Kluyveromyces lactis: one gene and its partners. The protein of the gene in region 6 binds, or shares a complex with, the protein of the main gene of each other region. Links are inferred from orthologs where the notes say so. Each region holds a gene or a part of one and is shown on either strand. Other genes may lie near its edges. The genes, in order: MRPL24, MRPL39, MRPL22, MRPL13, RML2, MRPL15 and MRPL23.

Region 1 (2,593 bases), on a different chromosome or scaffold from region 6:
GATGATTACCCGGAGGAGTGTTTGGGAGGGTATGGGAAGTGAATGGAAACCATGAGATGCCTAGCCTGGGGTCTAAGTGGGCAGTCCAGCGGCCAGTTTGGTGGAATGTCCAGGCCCAGACCGGGCAGTCCAGCTTAGGGAGGAAACGGGACAGGCCCTGCCCAGCTCGAAGCAAGCAACGAAGACGGATGGGATGTGTCTGTGCATCCTACCGTCAGCTCAGCGGATTTGGTGGACATGAGAAAATAATTTCCTAGTATGGAAACATTCTCATTTTCAGCAGAAATTGAGTATGTATGGGTGCAACAGTCAATAATGTCTGGGTGCAACAGTCACATGCACACCGTTCAATTCAATTGAACAGTGGGTGATTAACTCTTGCATCGGTCAGTCGGACAACTAACGCATAGTCTTCAAGCATCCTCCCAGCTCATGGTAGAATCTATTTTCTCATTGTTTACAAGCTTTTATATAAAATTGGAACAAAATCTATTCAGTTCTCATACAGTAATCGTACTCAAATCGAAATTCAAGGCCTTTAATCTCGATACGATGTCTGCCACGTCACGGGTAGCAAATTGGTCCATGAATTTCTTAAACGATAGATCTAATCCATCCGCTTTGTGTTCCATCTTTTCCAATGGGAAAAGGGTATGCAATAGTTTACGCTTACCAGCAGTAATTCTCAATGGTTCTCCATCGACAACAACTTTGTACAATACGGTGACTTCGTTGCCATTGGCATCTGTGACAGTCTCAGCGTCCTTATGTACAGGATTGGCAGCTTTTTCCTTAGAGTTCAGTAGTCTGTAACGGAGTTTCCAACCAGTAGGTCCCAATTCCTTAATTCTGGCGGCCTTTTCCTTAGTCAAATAGTTGTCAATACCACCTTCCTTGGTAATTGTTCTTAAAACTTTTGCTGTCATCTTAATACTAATCTTTCTGTTCAAAGTCTCACTCCATAGTCCTTTTCTAATAACGTTTGGACTCCATGATCTCCTGGTTTTTGTCTTCGATTCAGCGATGTTATTACCGAATTGGATGAAAGACGCACCGTATAAACCTTTGTTACTCTGTTTGTAAATTGGAGATTCTCCGTATGGATAATCAGGGAATTCCTTCTTCTCCTTTGGGATATATAATGGCTTGCTGTCGCCGACTTGATACGTCTTTGGAGTTGGGATCTGTCTGCTTTCAACTAATCTCCATTCTCTGAGGAGGTGGCTAAGAGTGGAAAACCCTCTTTGGGAACTTGGAAAAAACTTCATTCCAGATGAACGATCTCCGTGCTTATTGGTGAACGTACAGAGACTCTTAGACCAACTAGCTTCATACTAGGTTCAAGCTCCTTCTCTTCACCTTAGTGCATGTATCAAGTCGTTATTTTCTAAAATTTTGAATAAGCTTTGGAAAGATCAAAACCGTATACAGCGAGAATGGTAAAGCATAAGGAAATTTATGATTAGAATACACCTCTGCGTAATGGTTGGCGGTATCATGTATGTATGAAGGGTATGTATATATGTACGGCTGGATGGATATTGTGAATGAGGTCCCTGTTGCAATTTTTCTCATTTCTTCCATGGTGATTTGAAAGCCCAATTCCCGAGACGATTTCCCTTTGGATTGGTGGCATCTTTGGTCCAAGTCTTACCTGTGCGTAATTCATAGTTCTCTTTTTCTAATTCGTCAAGGCGTGTTCTGAGCTCTTGATTTTCGTCCATAACTTCCAGATTTCTTTCCATTGTTCTATTCAAATCTGCTTTCAAATCTGTGGGAATTTCAGCATCTGGATTAGGTAACGTTTGTTTATAAAGTTCACGTTCCAGTTGTTTCTTCAAATCTTCTATCTCTAGTAATAAATCCTTATTTTCGTCCTGAAGAGTTTCCATCCGAAGTCTGTTTTCAATTAGTTCATTGGCAATAGTGATATGCTCTCTGTTTAATAGCGAATAGTCATTTTCTAATTTCTTCAACTCTTTTTGAAGCTGTCTGTTTTTAATTCTTTGTTCCTCATATTGTTGTTCCTTTTCCGTTTCCAACTTGTGAATCTCATCGTACTCTTTCACGTAACGCTCCAATTGCAATGGAGTTAATTTGATTTCCAACGAATCAGAGATGAATCTATCAATATCGTACTCTTCTGGGTTCTCCTTAGAAGCATAGTGTTGGAAAAGGTCCTCCTTCAAGAAGTCTAAGAGAGAATCGAAACTGAGAATGATCAAATTACGACTGTTCTTTAACATCAACGTTAAACTGAATTTTAGCATCGATTCGATACCTTCAAGTATGACAATATCCATGATTCTGAGAACGAATTCAAGGGGAAATTTGTATGCGAACATCGTCAGGAACCATTGAGTTGCAAACATTGTAGATCTTATTCCCTGCCTGATCAAATGGTTATACAATTGAGGATCATTTTCCTCCAAAAGTGTATCAAATTGGTACAATTTCAACATCAGGCCAGGCATTCCCGGCAAGAATAAATCCCTTAATCCGTATACTTTCATGAGTTTCGTTAATAGAGAAAACGCTTGCCATTCTTCTTCACAGTTCAATATTAAAGTAGTAGCAATAAAACCCATGCCCT
Region 2 (1,849 bases), on a different chromosome or scaffold from region 6:
GTGGCAGTGGTAATAAATCACAACGATCTAAAAACACCGGTGGAAGTTCCACTTGGGGTAACAATCAATCGCAGCATAACTCAGGAGAGAGATCCGCATGGGGCAATGCATCCCAACACAACAATAGCGGCAATAGATCTGCTTGGGGTAATCAGGATGCTAGAGGTGGTGGAAGTACGTGGGGTGGAAATAATTAGAAATAATCATACAAGTTATTGCCTCACGATAATTTACAAACCTATCAATTGTTCATCTTATTATCTCCAAATTACTCCACGCGATGTGGATGTTGTATATATAGTCTTGCCCAAATTAGTCTCAGAAACCAATTAAATAAGTGAATTAAGTAAATGTAATTTAGTTAAAAATTTCGTTTCTTTACTACAAACCGATACTACTATAGAACTCTTAAATCACGTCTATTTCAACGGTAGTTATTGCAGTGTGAGTGTTTTCTATATACATGCAAATGGTGTGGTTAAATTGTTAAATACAATTCATTAACGTCTTGCGGTACGTAAGAAGTCCAATGGTTTCCTCTCTGCAACCTTTCTTTTCTTGGCCTCTTTGAACAAAACATGACGTTTAGCTACAGGGTCGTACCTCACCTGCGTCACTAATGGTGCAGCTCTATTTATCGTGACATGACGGCTCACACCTGTCATAGCAGTTGATATCAGTTTGATAACTGTAGTCTTTGTCTTAGCCTTGGCCATCGTTTTCCTGTTCGTTTGCAGTTTATATATGATATCCTTAGCTCTGTGAAATTCCTTGAATTTGAATTTGAGACAGAGAAGTACGCAGGATAATATTACTTTCTGCCCTTAATACTTTCCGATGATACACCGTCCTATGCAGAAATTGATGAACTCCCACTACTTTCAGTATTGATTGGGTCGGATACATTGCTAAAGAAGAAGTAATGGATAATCAAAATTTTGTCAAATCACTACATACGTTTTGATGAATATGCAATATACATAAAAATGATCCGTACTTCATATCACGTGAAACAGATACATATTCACAAGTCAAGTTAAGTATTCGCATATAGTTACTCTACGCTTTTATCAACAAGAAGGTATTAACTGAATTGATTGGTGTACACAGTACGGTATAATTAAGGTAACTAATTAGTGCTGGAGCTTACGGATCTCTGTTACACCCGTGCAACACGATATACATTACTGATGAAAATTTTGAAAATTTTCCAAAGCTCATCGCATAGAGACAGAGGCAAAATCAGCGAAAGAGAAGAGAAAAAAATGGAAATTCAAATGAGTTCTAAGTTACCTGCTAAAATAAACGTAATGGTAAGGTGACCCTAGAAGGTGCATAGGGTTTCATCCAGCTGTTTGATAGAAGAAAGGAGTATACTGCGCCAAGTGTATCCGATTTACGTGTTTCAATAAAGAACTGAAACAAAAATTTGAGACTATCATCTGTGCGAAGTTTTTTTCTTCAAAGAGAATTAATTGATATCGATCAGATTATCTACAGACCCATAACTTGAAAGGAGGATATTTGACATACCTCAAATCAGAATTGGGCTTCTTAATTGTTGATAGTATAACACGCGTCTAGAAATTAAAGGAATTTTTTCTACAATCCTATTTTTTTAAGGAGATAATACAAAGATTCACAACATGTCAGCTATTCCTGAACCAAGAATCATCGAGAATGACGATGGTTCCAAAACCGTCATCAGTTTCAAAATCCAAGATGGTAAGAAGTACAAGGTTACGCAGAAGGTTAAGGAAATTACTGTCACCGAGAAAGTTAACAAGAACATCGCCTTGAGAAGAAATTGGAAGAAATATGGTGCTGATAAGGGAGCTGCCCCAGGACC
Region 3 (2,824 bases), on a different chromosome or scaffold from region 6:
ACGCAGCAGCCACATGGTATGAAGACCAGGACGGTTCTGGTATATCCAAACAGATCACATTCGGATTCGGATTCACCTGGCATAGTATCGCCATCTACAGTTTGGGTACCGCCGTCAACAGATGATTCAACGTCGCATACAGATGTAGACACGGCAATGGTGACGGTACTTGAGATGAGCTCAGGACCGAGCAACATAGTAATGCAAACAATTTATCCCGAGAACACCGCGACCCAAGAATACACATCTGTTGAGGGTACAGAAGCTACTGCCACTGTGCCTACACCGACTTGGTTAACGTTGACCACTGAAGTACCGTCTTCTGAAACTGTGGTTTATTACACACGAGATTTCATCTTTACTGACACTTCAACCACCTTTACTAAAGGACTACCGACACTTACAGTGATACCCACAGAGGCTACTTTCACTACACCTACAGGTCCAGTTGTGACTGACACATCTTTTTACGAAAGATGGCTATCTGGCGCATTGGATTCCAACTCAACATCGTCTGGATCAAATAAAGATACAATAATCGGTGGTGTAATAGGAAGCGTGGGAGGTCTGGCGCTAATGATACTGGTGATCTATTTATTATTTAGGAAGAGACGAAGGAGAAATCTTATCGAACACGAAAAGAGCTTCTCCCACGACATTGGGAGAAAAATGGGATACGACGATATCGGAACGTTTATTGCACAGTCTCAGCAAACCACCAAGACTACAACCAGAGTATCGACGACTGCTCATAATAATAACAAAGTTTCAAAAAGTTTGCCCTCAGTGCCTCCATATGTTGCAGATTCTGTCAGGAGGCCACAGACGACAAATCCATTCGACGACGAATATGTTGTATCGATTGCAGATCCAGAGTCTCAGACGCCTTCCACAACATCACTACATTCATCCTTTGTGTCATCTTCCACCGATGAGGGTACACATGACACTGAAATGTCAGTTACTTACGATGAAAACCCACAGAACGCTCACGGATATTTAACGGAACTAATCGAACACTGATCTTACCAAACTCTAATTACAAAGTTTTCAAATTTGTACTTAAATTTTCCCTTCTATTCAATATACTTCTTTGTGCATCTTCAGTTATATAGTTCATATTTAAGGTTTAATTCCTAGCAATTCCACACTAACGCTTTTCTAATTTGTGATCTTACAACCCGTCAAGATAGTCGGACTTCAATATCTTCCTCCACACAGTAGAACCATTCCTTATATCTTCATGCCCGTTCACGATGATTTATATTTCCTAACCATCGAACAAAAAAATTTTGATAATCAAACATTGTACAGAAGAAGGATTGATCAAAGTAATAAAATGCCTACAGTATAATACTAGAGGCACGTGTAAATTACATGGTTAGTTGCAGGCTCTGTCATCAGTTCAACCTATATAAAATTTAATGCTATCGAGGACAGTAACTAGCCTGTTCGGCTTGGGAAAGGCTTCCGGTGTAAGAAGTTTTCAAGCTTCAGCATTGCAGCTACAAAAATCTGCACAAGGTTCGCTATTCGGTGAAGTCACCGATGGAGTGAATCCGTTGAAGGATGACGATCCAAATAAACTATCTAATAAGTTGACTACTGCTACCGAACTGTCAGATGATTTGGATGCTGCTACCCAGCTGGCAGAGGCTAAAAAGAAAGTTACAGCAGCCAATGATACACAATTACAGAAATATATCGAAGAACAAGACCCCATGATCAAAAGTTTACCAGAATTTTTGTTACCAAGAGTTAAGAAGGAATTCTATGAACAACAGGTTAGGTTGAACGGTGGGTTTTACGACAAAAGCGTGCGCCCTAAAGATCGTTCTTTGAGATTAACGAATGAAGAATTAGAAGTGCTTGAACCTAGTGTCTATGTTAAATCTTACAGAGTAAAATCATCTATGAAGAAGGCCACACAGCTGCTTAGACTTTTGAACGGATTGGACGCTAAGAAAGCTTTGACTCAATGTCATTTCTCCGATAAAAAGGTTGCCCGTGATGTTGCCGAATTATTGGAGCGCGGTATTAATGATGGTGTGAAGCTTGGCTTGGATGCCAATGACCTATACATCTCCCAGATATGGACCGGCAGTGATGGATTTTGGCAAAAACGTGTCGAATGGAAGGGTAGAGGTAGACGTGGTCTCATTGAACACCCATATGTGCATATCAAATGCATATTGAAGACCAAGAGTGTAACGAAGAGAAGACTAGAGCACGAAGCCAAACTAAAAGAACAAAGGAAGAAACCGTGGGTTCAATTAGCAGATAAACCCATCAGAGGTTCTATGGGTGGTGTTTACAAATGGTAATGAGATATTAAACATTATCATATTACGTTTATTTCCAATGATAATGGGTGAAGATAATATACAGCAATTAAATCATCAATAATAAGGTCCTTAGATTGTCTTTGGGTTTCATCTCAAGTTATCCATGTCGGAATAGCCAAGTATTTCATATCATTTATATAATATATAGAACAAGAGCTTGTAAATAGTGAAAGCAACGCGAAATACTTCACCGCATCAAACTGTAAGGAAACAAATTTCGTCTATTTCTTCTTCTTAGATTCCGTTTTAGCTGGTTCAGTAGTTTTCTCCGCCTTCTGTTGGTTAGCGGCAGATTCCTTCAATTGGTCTTTCCTCCATTGATCTAATCTTTGTTCATATTCCCAGGTACTGTACCACAAACCTCCTTGCAACACTAAGACACCAGCAAAGACAATTAAAATAATGATATTGGAAGAGGCAACAACAGCAATACCTTGCGCCTCAGAGACTTCACCCCAGTTATGGTAAACCGCAGATTC
Region 4 (2,712 bases), on a different chromosome or scaffold from region 6:
ACATGAATCTAGATAAGATTGATTTATTGGTTCATTATAGATATGAGACTGTACCACAAGATGCTGTGAATAGATTAATCCAAAATAGGTTCAAAAAAAATGTGCCTTCTCATCCCAAACCATCTAACCAATTAATTCCTGGAATTCCCAATGAAACCCTTCTTCCAGCAGTAATTGTTGCTCTCGGTGCGTCAATTGCCGTGATATTTTCGTTATCGAGAAAACACTAGGTATACAATCAATGCCACGCTCTTTTCAAACCTTATATAAAAGTATATATATATTCACATACAATAATTTTTTTTTGGTGATTGATCTCTCATACTAATGGTTATAGTAACATTATGTATAAGTATTTATATTATGTACAGGATTTAGATTGAAGGAAAAGTCAAATCAAAGATCTGAAAAGCGGCCGACTGGCCTAGTTCAAATGCATTGGAAAAAAAGATATGCGATAGTAAATATAAACAACCCAGAAGAGAGATTGTTTTCGGAGTTTAATCCCTTTTAGCTTTCTCAATAGCGTCTCTTTCATATTGAGCTTCCAATGCGGCGACCTCTTCCAAGATTTTCTTCACCTTCTGTTTTTTCACAGATGGTTTGACATCGGGAACCACGTACACGTTTGGTGGGAATTTGATATTCGATAAATCAATGGCGTTTGGTTCCGATTCCTTAAATTTCCCTAGTTGACCACTTAGTACTTTAATCTCAAACCACGATTTAAATTCCAATGGAGTTTGTAACCTTGTAAGTTCGTAGTCTGGGATAATGTGTCCTGATTTGCATTGTAGCAGTTTACTGAATTTGAACTTGTTTACCAAATTTTCGAAAGGTTTCCCCAGTTGTTCTTCCGTTGGGACATCACCGAAAGTTTCCTGATAACTTTCCAAAACAACCTGTTCCAACTGTTGTTCGGTACTTAATTTATCCTGAGATAACCACTCGTTGAATGGGACGACATCCAACTTTTGTAAACGAATAAGTTCTTCTCTTCTAGATGAATCGATACCAACAAAATCATCATCTGTTAACTCTAATCTTGTGACCGTTGAGCTCTTCACTACAGTTGTTTTCCCGGACTCGATCTCATTTATAACTTCTTTTGTATCTCTTTGCAATTCTGGCTGTGTTGAAACGACACCAGCATCTTTGTTTTTATTTCTTCTGAACCATGACAAGAAATCAGAGCGCACTGCACTTGAAGTGAATTGTCTTGATGAACGCACTACTGGCACGTACCTAGACGCTAGCATCATTATTCTTTTTTGTTTTCGATTGAAAAATATGCACAGTACCACGCTTTAATGAACTGATATCAACCGCCAAATCAGACAACACTAGAAGATACTTCTGTGCTTAAGCTCATCAAGAACTTGACCGTTCAATTAATGTTCTAATATACAATATCTTCATCAAATTGTAAGTTTATAGTTTTTAGATGAAATTTTTCAATTTTTCAATTGGGCATAGAAAGAATGTAGTCCATATGGGAAGGTTCTAAAGAGAGAAAGAAACAGGATCTGAAGCGATAGATAGTTGCATCATAGTGGTCTTTAACAACGGGTCGAGTTAAGTGCGTACTTCCTGGTTTGCATGATGTTCACTGTATTCAGTAACTAAAAGCTGCTTATCTATGTAGCCCGATAGATAAAGAAGACGGGGTTACCCTATTCAAAACACCCACAACCCACATACTAGAATATGAAATTTATGCTTCCCAGTGCTTTTTATCAACATCTATAGTAAGTGTAGTTCCTTTACCTTAAAGCCACCAAGGCAATGAGATAGTTTACGTTTACTAACGAATTCTAGCATCAGTAGCTACCGAAAATCTGCCTAAAACATTTAAAATATTATGGGAAATGTGCTAAGTTGCTGCTTTCGTCAAGATAGCGACGAAAATGACCCGTTATTGCAGGAACAGGACAGGTACGGCTCACAAGCCCAATTAGATTATAACGAAATGGAACAACGACAGAAGGAAAGAGTGCTTGCAAGAGAACTTGAATTGACCGAAATCGTGAATAATACGAACGATAAGCTTATAGATATAGGTATGATCAGCAACAGCGGTATCGTAGCATCCTCACACGATTTAGGTTCGAGCTATGTGCAAGATCAAAGAGAAATTTTACATGACGTACCCTTAACGGTACTTCCCAGTTCGAAAATAAAACAGGACACAAGGAAGGCGATTCAAGAATTTCACAAAAAGTACTTCGCTAACCTAGTGAAAAACCTTACCGTGGAATATAACAAGCCATTGGTCGCCAATATCGAATCGTGACGCAATAGGTTTCTGCACTATTAGCGCACTCAAAATGGGTTCACCAAATGTTGAAATGCGATATATCACTATATACGTCTGAACATTTCTCAATCTTGTAAAGGTACTTTCACTCTCTTTATTGAAAACATTGAAATATACAAACTTTGTAGAATAGACATATAAAACAATACGCAGTATACGATTTTGGTTTGTCAAAGGAGCCAATTAGGTACGGTTAGAGTAAGTGCCTTGACTGCTGCATATATACTGAAATTTGTTCATTTAAGAAGCCAAGGAAGCGAGGAGGCAAAAAAAAAAGCATAAACAAACTGGAAAGCGCCAAATACTATGGCTGTGAAAAGAAGCAGATCAGAAGATCCCAGTGAGGAACCCGAACAAAAGCATTCAAAACAGAATTATGTACCAAGATATACACC
Region 5 (2,845 bases), on a different chromosome or scaffold from region 6:
AAAAGCACAAGTTACAAGTACAAGAATGGAACAGCTAATGCTATATATAAACGTATTCAGGACTGTTAGAGATAACAAAAAGCGTGTTTCTAATCCTTTAAAATTTTGAATTTTATTCATGATTAGCATGGAAACTTTTAGTTCATCATTAATAGGTCTATATATTTAAGATAGAGAATGCCGAGTAATCCACTGACACATCTAACGTACACTTCGACTACCCGAATATATCCGGAAATGAAGAAAGTCAAACAAACAAGAAGATATAACTTGTACTGTATTGCCTGGACAGTTTATTTTAATAAAGTAATCGATTGATCAGAATTTTCAGTGTTTGGCTAATGCTAGTCGAATCGTTCATATTTTCGAAATCCGTTTGGGGCGACAGCGGTCATCATAATCGATATACTCAAAAAAAAAACAATCCAAATGATGGTATTTCCATACAGACAGTCATTATCTTCGTCGTTCCTTTTACTTGTTCATTTCCCGACATGAAGAGGAATTTGATTTCCGTTTGAGTTCAGTAAAAAAGACAGAATACGTTGCGAACAGGAACTCCTGTTCCTGATACACTACAAATCGAATCCTTGTTGGTTATGTCTCTAACTCTAATTAAAAGCTTTGTAACGGATAATAAAGTATTCGTGATGAGATAGAAACTTACCTCAAAATTTTTCACTTTTCCAGTTATTTAAACTAAAAACCATAAAACAGAAAGAATAGTCAATCTAACCATGAGAGACTGGTCTGCCATTAGGGCACAAAATAAGTACACAAAGATTTCCTGAATCACGTGACCAAATATTATATAATCCGGGTAAATTCAGAATACGTTCATAGTGATACTTCTTGCAAAAAATTCCATTTGACGATATTCCTCTGATGGTATTGAAGCTGTTTGAAATTAGAGATCGCTTGAAAGATTTTGATATTAACAAAAATGAACAATGTAATTGCAATGACTTAAACATTTTAAACTATGGATATTGATATATATAAGGGTGGATATATCTATAACAAATCTTATTAAGATCAGAGTTATTTTATTATTTCTGTGAAGGGCAGTAGCAAAGCGGAGATATTGGTATTAGACGGTTTACCCTAAGAATCTCGTTAGGTGCTCTGGATATAATATCATGTTCAAGCAATTCAACTTGAGATGCCTGACGCCGCTTGCCAGCGGCGTCTCCTCAAGAGTTCAAGTTCCGTGGAATGTTTCGATGATAATGTCTTTGAACAATACTTCACTTGGTGGAATCAGATCTATGGCCAGCATCACTCCAACCGGGAATGAAGAACAATCTTCAGTTGACGATGTCAATGTCCATATGTTGAAAATCGTTCCTAATAACACAGATGTGGTAGCACTAGAGAAGCAAGACGAATTGTTAAGAAGAAGAAGAAAGTTGGCTAAGGAAGTTACACAAATGAAGAAATTGAAACCGGTTTCTCCAGGTTTGAGATGGTACCGTGCGCCAATTTATCCATATTTGCATAAGGGAAGACCTGTTAAATCTTTGACTCTTGCCAAGAGAGGAAATGGTGGTAGAAACCATAGTGGTAAGATCACGGTGAGACATCGTGGTGGTGGTCATAAAAGAAGATTGAGAACAGTCGATTTCAGTCGTTTCGAATCTGGTATGCAAACTGTGGAAAGAATCGAATACGATCCTGGTAGAAGTGCACATATTGCATTGATAAAACATAACGATACTGGTGCCCTAAGCTACATTTTAGCATGTGATGGGCTAAGAGCTGGGGATACCATCGAATCATACAGAAAAGGTATTCCACCATCATTTTTGAAAGAAATGGGTGGGAAGATCGATCCTGCCATCTTATCTGTTAGAACAGCTCAAAGAGGTAACTGTCTACCAATCTCTATGATCCCAATCGGATCCATCGTTCATAATATTGGTATCACTCCTACAGGTCCAGGTAAGTTCTGTCGTGCTGCTGGTTCTTACGCACGTATCTTATCCAAGATCCCAGAAAAGAATAAAGCTGTTGTCCGTCTACAAAGTGGTGAGCACCGTTACGTATCATTGGAAGCTGCAGCTACCATGGGTGTTGTCTCAAATATTGACCATCAAAACCGTTCTCTAGGTAAAGCTGGTAGATCTAGATGGTTGGGTATAAGACCAACTGTCAGAGGTGTGGCAATGAACAAATGTGACCATCCTCACGGTGGTGGTAGAGGTAAATCTAAGTCCAAAAAGTTGTCCATGTCTCCATGGGGTCAATTGGCCAAGGGTTACAAGACAAGAAGGGGTAAGCATCAAAACAAAATGAAGGTTAAAGATAGACCAAGAGGTAAGGCTGGTAGAAAGGCTAGACAATGATAAGCTTCCCCACAACTGATCCTATCTTAAATATCATCAGTTTTTGTAAACTTATTTCAATGACTTCCATCCTGTAAATATCGTAGAACTAGTTAATTTAAAGAAATAACATAACATCTGTTCAGTTACCAACTCTATTTTAAACAAAGTTTAGATTACTACATCCAGAGCATCATTTGGTCTCTTCTTCCAGCTTAAATTCCCAGTTCCCAAGTTCGAATAAGGAACCAACGACTAACCTTACATGCTGGGCCATGTGATCAAATGAAAGTCTGTCTAAAGTGTCCATCGTACTGTGAATGTATTTGTTAGATTTGTTGAACTCACTTTCAATGACAAAGGAAGCGGGGAATCCATTCTTCGTTGCACTTCCGTGATCACTACATGCATATCCACATTCCGTTTCCACGTAAGGAATATCCAAGAATCTTCTTATAATCAACTTAATAAATTCAGTTAGACCTGGCGTGGTATAATCAGTAATGACACCAACATGCTCA
Region 6 (2,464 bases):
TCGTTGATTATCTGTTGCAGTAGTGGGATCAAAAATGCCAACGTTTTACCAGAACCTGTGGGAGCACAAGCGATCATGTCACGTTCATGCAACAAAATCGGTATAGATTCACTTTGAATCGGAGTTGGTTCAGTGAAGTTATTTTCTATGAGGTTGTTTAACAATCTCTTATCGAATTGGAACCTTGTGATCAAGTCTTCAAAAGAACCGATGGGCAAAGGAACACTATTCCCTGAAACATTCCCTTGATAAGATTTACGTAACTTTAACGCATCTTGTTTCGTGATAATTTTCCCGGATAACTCAGTCTCGTCATCAGCATGATCTTCGTCTTCTTCTTGATTATCTTCTTGTACTTCGTCTTCACCTTCACCTTTGGTTGACTCAGACTTTACCTTATTCATGATTTTCTTATTACGGAAAAAATCCAACTCCTTAGTCAATTGTTGTTCATCTCTAGCTGGTGTACTTGAGCTGCCAGCTGTCTTACTCTTCTTTTCATTAGCCATGCTAAAGTCTGCAGACTGTGTTCTATTAGAATCACCATTCTTCCTTATGCTAGCTCCACGAGTCAAGACTCTAAAGATATCCATGTTAATTAGCGGTGCTAGTATTGGCCTGTGAGAAGTTACTTAGTAATGAGAATAAATTCGATAGTAAACCACTGTGAGTGATATAATCAATCTCTTACTACTCTCTCATCTCATCTCATCTCATCTCATCGCCTACATCTAATTGCAGTTTTTTCAATTAAAATTGATCTTACTGAAGCGTTTCTTTTCACAAAACTTAGGGTACAATAAGTGTAAAAATCGATATAAAAGTACTTCTCAAGGCATAAAGATGCAGCAAAGCTTACTTTAAGATACAGCTGGTATTAAGCCCTCATAATACCAGCCCATAATGACCATATTCCCTTGATAACAGTACCTAATGCCTTGATATTGCATGTATTCCCATCATACAAGATAGCACTTAGACACAGCGATGACCTCGTTTGGAGTGATCTGAAAAATTTTGAAAAATTTCAAAATTTGGATCGCTGCCTCGAGTCGAAAAACTACAAAGAAACAGTTTGAATCGTAGTTAAAAGGACTAAACTGTTAGAATTAAGATTCAATAATTCTAATATTTGTGTCCTGTGTAATTACAATCTGTTGATATTCGGTCGAGGAAGATTGAATTGTGAAAATACCAGACAGAAACCATTCAGACAGTATTTTTTTACTTCTGGAATAATGTCCTTAACCAAAATTGGTCTTAACTTAAGCACAAAATTCGGCGTGCGTAATGGTTCTTATCTACACGTTGGGACTAGGGTACGTGGTTTGAAAAGAGACCCAGTTGAGTCTTTGAAGAATCCACACGGTTTGCACTATGATTCTCTTGTCAAGGATGGCCATGTATCTACTGTTAAGCAAGGTTTGAATTTGGAAAAATATGGTATTGACTTGCCAGACGACATCATTACACAATGTTTGACTCACAAGTCGTTTGCCCAAGGTATTAAACCATACAATCAGAAATTGTCTATTATCGGTGGTCATTTTGTGAAATATCAAGCTTGTCTTCATTCCTTGGGTCTACCTGTTTCTGAAAGGCAACTATCACAAAGCGTACAGTCTGAACCTGTTATTAACGGACTAAATTTCGGTATGCTTGGGAAGGGAAGTTCTAAAATGTTAATATCCAAACAGAGTACGGCTGAATTTTTGCAAAGGAGAAACCTAGATAAATTAGTGTTTTGGAACAAACGAGACACTCAAAAAAGTCACAAATATAACGGTGAGTATACCGTGCTACAAACTGTGCTAAATTCTGTGGTCGGCAGTGTCTATCTATTGCACGGTCAAGACAAGGCCACCGAATACGTGTTGCATGAACTATTCAGCGACAATAGTGATTCCCTAACGAAGATATCTGAAAGTTTGTTAGCAAACAGGGATACGACCGAGAAGTTATAATATTATGTCTAATTTTACACGACAGGAAAGAAAGAGAAATGGAATACACAATAGACTTCGACATCAATAAAAAGCACTCGAGTGAATGGTCTCCATCGGAGTTGGGAAAGAGCTTTCAAAACTTGTATATATATATTTCGAAACGGAAGTTTCAATCACAGCTCTTGGTCAATGTGGTGTTTTAATCTACTCTTTCATCCCTGCTCAATTTCAACGTTTTATTATAATGAATTTACCAAAAGCATGAAAAGCATAACCTTTTAACGACACTCCATCGTCACACTTCAATTAAAAATGAACCTCGAAAGAAACGCGCGCACTGTATATATCTCATGTATCTCTAGAAATATAGACGTACATAAATTTACAACTAAATCTATCATTAATTAAATGTTAACATACAAAATAAAAACAGATTAAGAAAAGTACATAATACAATACATGTATATAAATACATATATAACTTCATAGAAGGGATGTTTTTTGCTGGTAATTTACTT
Region 7 (2,360 bases), on a different chromosome or scaffold from region 6:
ATTTCAAAATCAAATCTTTGGGTCCACTGCTGCCAAGAAATTCAACATCACTCGAAATTGACAAAAAGAGAAGAGAGTAAACCACCTTGTTAACTTCCATCGTTGAACATTTTCTAAAGTCCTCCAGACTATGATGTACACACGTCTTCTATATGCATTGTTTTTGTTGGTCGAACTGGCGTTCGGAGCCAATTTCTACGACCGTGATGAGAATATCATGGAATTGACACCTTCTAACTTCGATAAAGTCATTCATAGGACCAATTACACCACTTTGGTCATGTTTTATGCTCCGTGGTGTGGTTACTGTCAGGAATTGAAAGGTTCCATGAAATCTGCCGGTAAAATCCTCTCTGGAATGGTACAAGTTGCTGGAGTGAACTGTGATGAAAGTGTGAATAAACAATTATGTGCACAGAACAGAGTATCGGGGTTCCCAACGTTAATGGTATTCAGGCCTCCAAAGATCAATTTGGATAACCCAAAGAAAAATTCCAATGGTGCTGCGTCACAGCATGCCACAGAAGTGTACAAGGGAGAAAGGAAATTGAAGCCCATTGTCGATTTCGCTTTATCTAGAGTGAAAAACTACGTGAAGCGGTTGAACCGTTACAGTAAGTTCGAAGAACTATTAAAATCTTCAAGAACCAGGTACGCTGTAGTGCTTATCTCAAAGAAGGAGAAGATTCCAACTTTATATAAATCTGTAGCCCTCGATTGGCTTGGGATCTACGATTTCTATTCGATCTGGGACGAGAAATTGCAAGGCGTGTCACAATTGAGTTTTGAGAACGATACAAAGAATTGGCCAAATACTGTTAAATACCTCCAATCGTTAGAAAAAAGTGAAACTGAATTACAATCGCCCAGAATCGTAGTGATAGATAGAGAAACAGATACTTATGACGAACTAGACATATTAAAAACTACAGATAAAAATGACATTGCAACGTTCCTTTCGAAATTCGAGTCAAAACCAAGGGAAGGTCCACTCAGTAAGAGACAAGAATACCTCAAATCTATTTTGAATAAATCAAAGTCAAAGAAGTCCAAGACTAAAAAGAACAAACAGAAGACTAAACTTACGAAGGACGACATAGTTCAGGATGAGTTGTAGGTATTTGTTAGTAGCTTGTATATAGATTGTGTTTAACATCCGGGTAACAGTAATATGAGCGATTGAAAAAAATTTGGCTCCAAGCTGAAATTAAACATCAATTAATCAAATCGATTGTCAAGCTAAACATATGATGAGTTAAAAGACAACTGACTGTCCCGAACTATCCCTTTACCTAAGTGATTACAGTTGAATAGCATCACTTAAAATTTAACTTTTTAGGTGCCACGTTTTAACCTGTCAGAAAGGAGGCAAAATAACAATATATTAGAAGTATGTCTCAAAAGGTAGGACATACTGGTTTGGCATTTGCCAGGATGTGGCATCATGTTGATATATCCAAGGACAAGAGAACGCTTGGTAGGGTGGCATCTCAGGTTGCTCTAGCGTTAATGGGGAAGCACAAGCCAGTGTATCATCCATCTGCTGATTGCGGTGATTATGTTGTGGTAACGAACTGCCAAGCTTTGCGTGTGACGGGGAACAAGATGACCCAAAAGACGTACTGGTCGCATACTTCTAGACCAGGTTCATTAAAGTTGACTACAATGGAAGACATGATCAGTAACAAGGGTTACAGTGAAGTTTTGAAGAAGGCTGTGTCCGGAATGCTTCCCAAGAATAAACTTCGTAAGATCAGACTTGCTAGATTAAAAATTTTCGATGGAAGTGAACATCCATACAAGAGTAATATCACCGCATTTGCTGATCAGCAACTAGAGCTGCAACACCAGAAGAAATAGTGTGGATGAATTTTTATGTGACTTCTTAATTTTTGAGAAGTTAACGGCAGCATGTGATGTAAAATCCCTGTATATATTATTATTCGATCTAAATGGTTCTCCTTAGTACGCATACAATGTCTGTCGTTTTTCACTGTACTAAACTCTTCCACTTTACTATGTACATATAGATTGTTATTTAGATATGTTAATTATCACATACAAATCACATACAAATCACATACAGAGATAGAAAAGATATTACATCGCAGTATGCCAAAGCATAATACTTTTGCCTGGAAGAAAGAACATTTAACAGAACAAAAACGAGAAGAATTAGGGAAGGATGTATTTCATATTTGATATTATTTCCCTTGCTCCAAAAGACGATCTACTTTTGCTTCCAAAGCAGCAAGAATTTCATCTTTGCGGGTATTTTCCTCGGTTAATTTATCAATATAGCTTTCCAACTTTAGAACTAATCCAGATAATGTTTCTACAGATTGTCTCAAATTGAGAGA

Evidence for each region.
Region 1: MRPL15 (region 6) and MRPL24 share a complex: the UniProt entries of both Saccharomyces cerevisiae proteins name them as parts of the mitochondrial large ribosomal subunit. The link is inferred for Kluyveromyces lactis from reciprocal best matches to the Saccharomyces cerevisiae genes MRPL15 and MRPL24.
Region 2: MRPL15 (region 6) and MRPL39 share a complex: the UniProt entries of both Saccharomyces cerevisiae proteins name them as parts of the mitochondrial large ribosomal subunit. The link is inferred for Kluyveromyces lactis from reciprocal best matches to the Saccharomyces cerevisiae genes MRPL15 and MRPL39.
Region 3: MRPL15 (region 6) and MRPL22 share a complex: the UniProt entries of both Saccharomyces cerevisiae proteins name them as parts of the mitochondrial large ribosomal subunit. The link is inferred for Kluyveromyces lactis from reciprocal best matches to the Saccharomyces cerevisiae genes MRPL15 and MRPL22.
Region 4: MRPL15 (region 6) and MRPL13 share a complex: the UniProt entries of both Saccharomyces cerevisiae proteins name them as parts of the mitochondrial large ribosomal subunit. The link is inferred for Kluyveromyces lactis from reciprocal best matches to the Saccharomyces cerevisiae genes MRPL15 and MRPL13.
Region 5: MRPL15 (region 6) and RML2 share a complex: the UniProt entries of both Saccharomyces cerevisiae proteins name them as parts of the mitochondrial large ribosomal subunit. The link is inferred for Kluyveromyces lactis from reciprocal best matches to the Saccharomyces cerevisiae genes MRPL15 and RML2.
Region 7: MRPL15 (region 6) and MRPL23 share a complex: the UniProt entries of both Saccharomyces cerevisiae proteins name them as parts of the mitochondrial large ribosomal subunit. The link is inferred for Kluyveromyces lactis from reciprocal best matches to the Saccharomyces cerevisiae genes MRPL15 and MRPL23.

The regions. Positions count from the first base shown.
Region 1 is NC_006040.1:1,064,461-1,067,053, forward strand, and holds MRPL24 (mitochondrial 54S ribosomal protein bL28m), read right to left. Parts: upstream 1,269-2,593; coding exon 501-1,268; downstream 1-500. Other genes in the region: KLLA0_D12584g (uncharacterized protein), read right to left, coding at 1,572-2,593. UniProt on the Saccharomyces cerevisiae protein: Component of the mitochondrial ribosome (mitoribosome), a dedicated translation machinery responsible for the synthesis of mitochondrial genome-encoded proteins, including at least some of the essential transmembrane subunits of the mitochondrial respiratory chain.
Region 2 is NC_006038.1:66,590-68,438, reverse strand, and holds MRPL39 (mitochondrial 54S ribosomal protein bL33m), read right to left. Parts: upstream 717-1,849; coding exon 501-716; downstream 1-500. Other genes in the region: transcription elongation factor SPT5, read left to right, coding at 1-197; TIF35 (translation initiation factor eIF3 core subunit g), read left to right, coding at 1,647-1,849. UniProt on the Saccharomyces cerevisiae protein: Component of the mitochondrial ribosome (mitoribosome), a dedicated translation machinery responsible for the synthesis of mitochondrial genome-encoded proteins, including at least some of the essential transmembrane subunits of the mitochondrial respiratory chain.
Region 3 is NC_006040.1:702,031-704,854, forward strand, and holds MRPL22 (mitochondrial 54S ribosomal protein uL22m), read left to right. Parts: upstream 1-1,424; coding exon 1,425-2,324; downstream 2,325-2,824. Other genes in the region: TDA7 (Tda7p), read left to right, coding at 1-1,023; SHR3 (Shr3p), read right to left, coding at 2,567-2,824. UniProt on the Saccharomyces cerevisiae protein: Component of the mitochondrial ribosome (mitoribosome), a dedicated translation machinery responsible for the synthesis of mitochondrial genome-encoded proteins, including at least some of the essential transmembrane subunits of the mitochondrial respiratory chain.
Region 4 is NC_006037.1:258,004-260,715, forward strand, and holds MRPL13 (mitochondrial 54S ribosomal protein mL50 MRPL13), read right to left. Parts: upstream 1,263-2,712; coding exon 501-1,262; downstream 1-500. Other genes in the region: KLLA0_A02893g (uncharacterized protein), read left to right, coding at 1-230; MEH1 (Meh1p), read left to right, coding at 1,862-2,293; RSC4 (Rsc4p), read left to right, coding at 2,624-2,712. UniProt on the Saccharomyces cerevisiae protein: Component of the mitochondrial ribosome (mitoribosome), a dedicated translation machinery responsible for the synthesis of mitochondrial genome-encoded proteins, including at least some of the essential transmembrane subunits of the mitochondrial respiratory chain.
Region 5 is NC_006037.1:183,120-185,964, reverse strand, and holds RML2 (mitochondrial 54S ribosomal protein uL2m), read left to right. Parts: upstream 1-1,139; coding exon 1,140-2,345; downstream 2,346-2,845. Other genes in the region: KLLA0_A02013g (putative aminopeptidase), read right to left, coding at 2,518-2,845. UniProt on the Saccharomyces cerevisiae protein: Component of the mitochondrial ribosome (mitoribosome), a dedicated translation machinery responsible for the synthesis of mitochondrial genome-encoded proteins, including at least some of the essential transmembrane subunits of the mitochondrial respiratory chain.
Region 6 is NC_006039.1:1,528,070-1,530,533, reverse strand, and holds MRPL15 (mitochondrial 54S ribosomal protein mL57), read left to right. Parts: upstream 1-1,238; coding exon 1,239-1,964; downstream 1,965-2,464. Other genes in the region: RNA-dependent ATPase ROK1, read right to left, coding at 1-593; KLLA0_C17380g (uncharacterized protein), read right to left, coding at 2,459-2,464. UniProt on the Saccharomyces cerevisiae protein: Component of the mitochondrial ribosome (mitoribosome), a dedicated translation machinery responsible for the synthesis of mitochondrial genome-encoded proteins, including at least some of the essential transmembrane subunits of the mitochondrial respiratory chain.
Region 7 is NC_006040.1:210,499-212,858, forward strand, and holds MRPL23 (mitochondrial 54S ribosomal protein uL13m), read left to right. Parts: upstream 1-1,392; coding exon 1,393-1,860; downstream 1,861-2,360. Other genes in the region: protein disulfide isomerase MPD1, read left to right, coding at 131-1,117; CRN1 (coronin), read right to left, coding at 2,205-2,360. UniProt on the Saccharomyces cerevisiae protein: Component of the mitochondrial ribosome (mitoribosome), a dedicated translation machinery responsible for the synthesis of mitochondrial genome-encoded proteins, including at least some of the essential transmembrane subunits of the mitochondrial respiratory chain.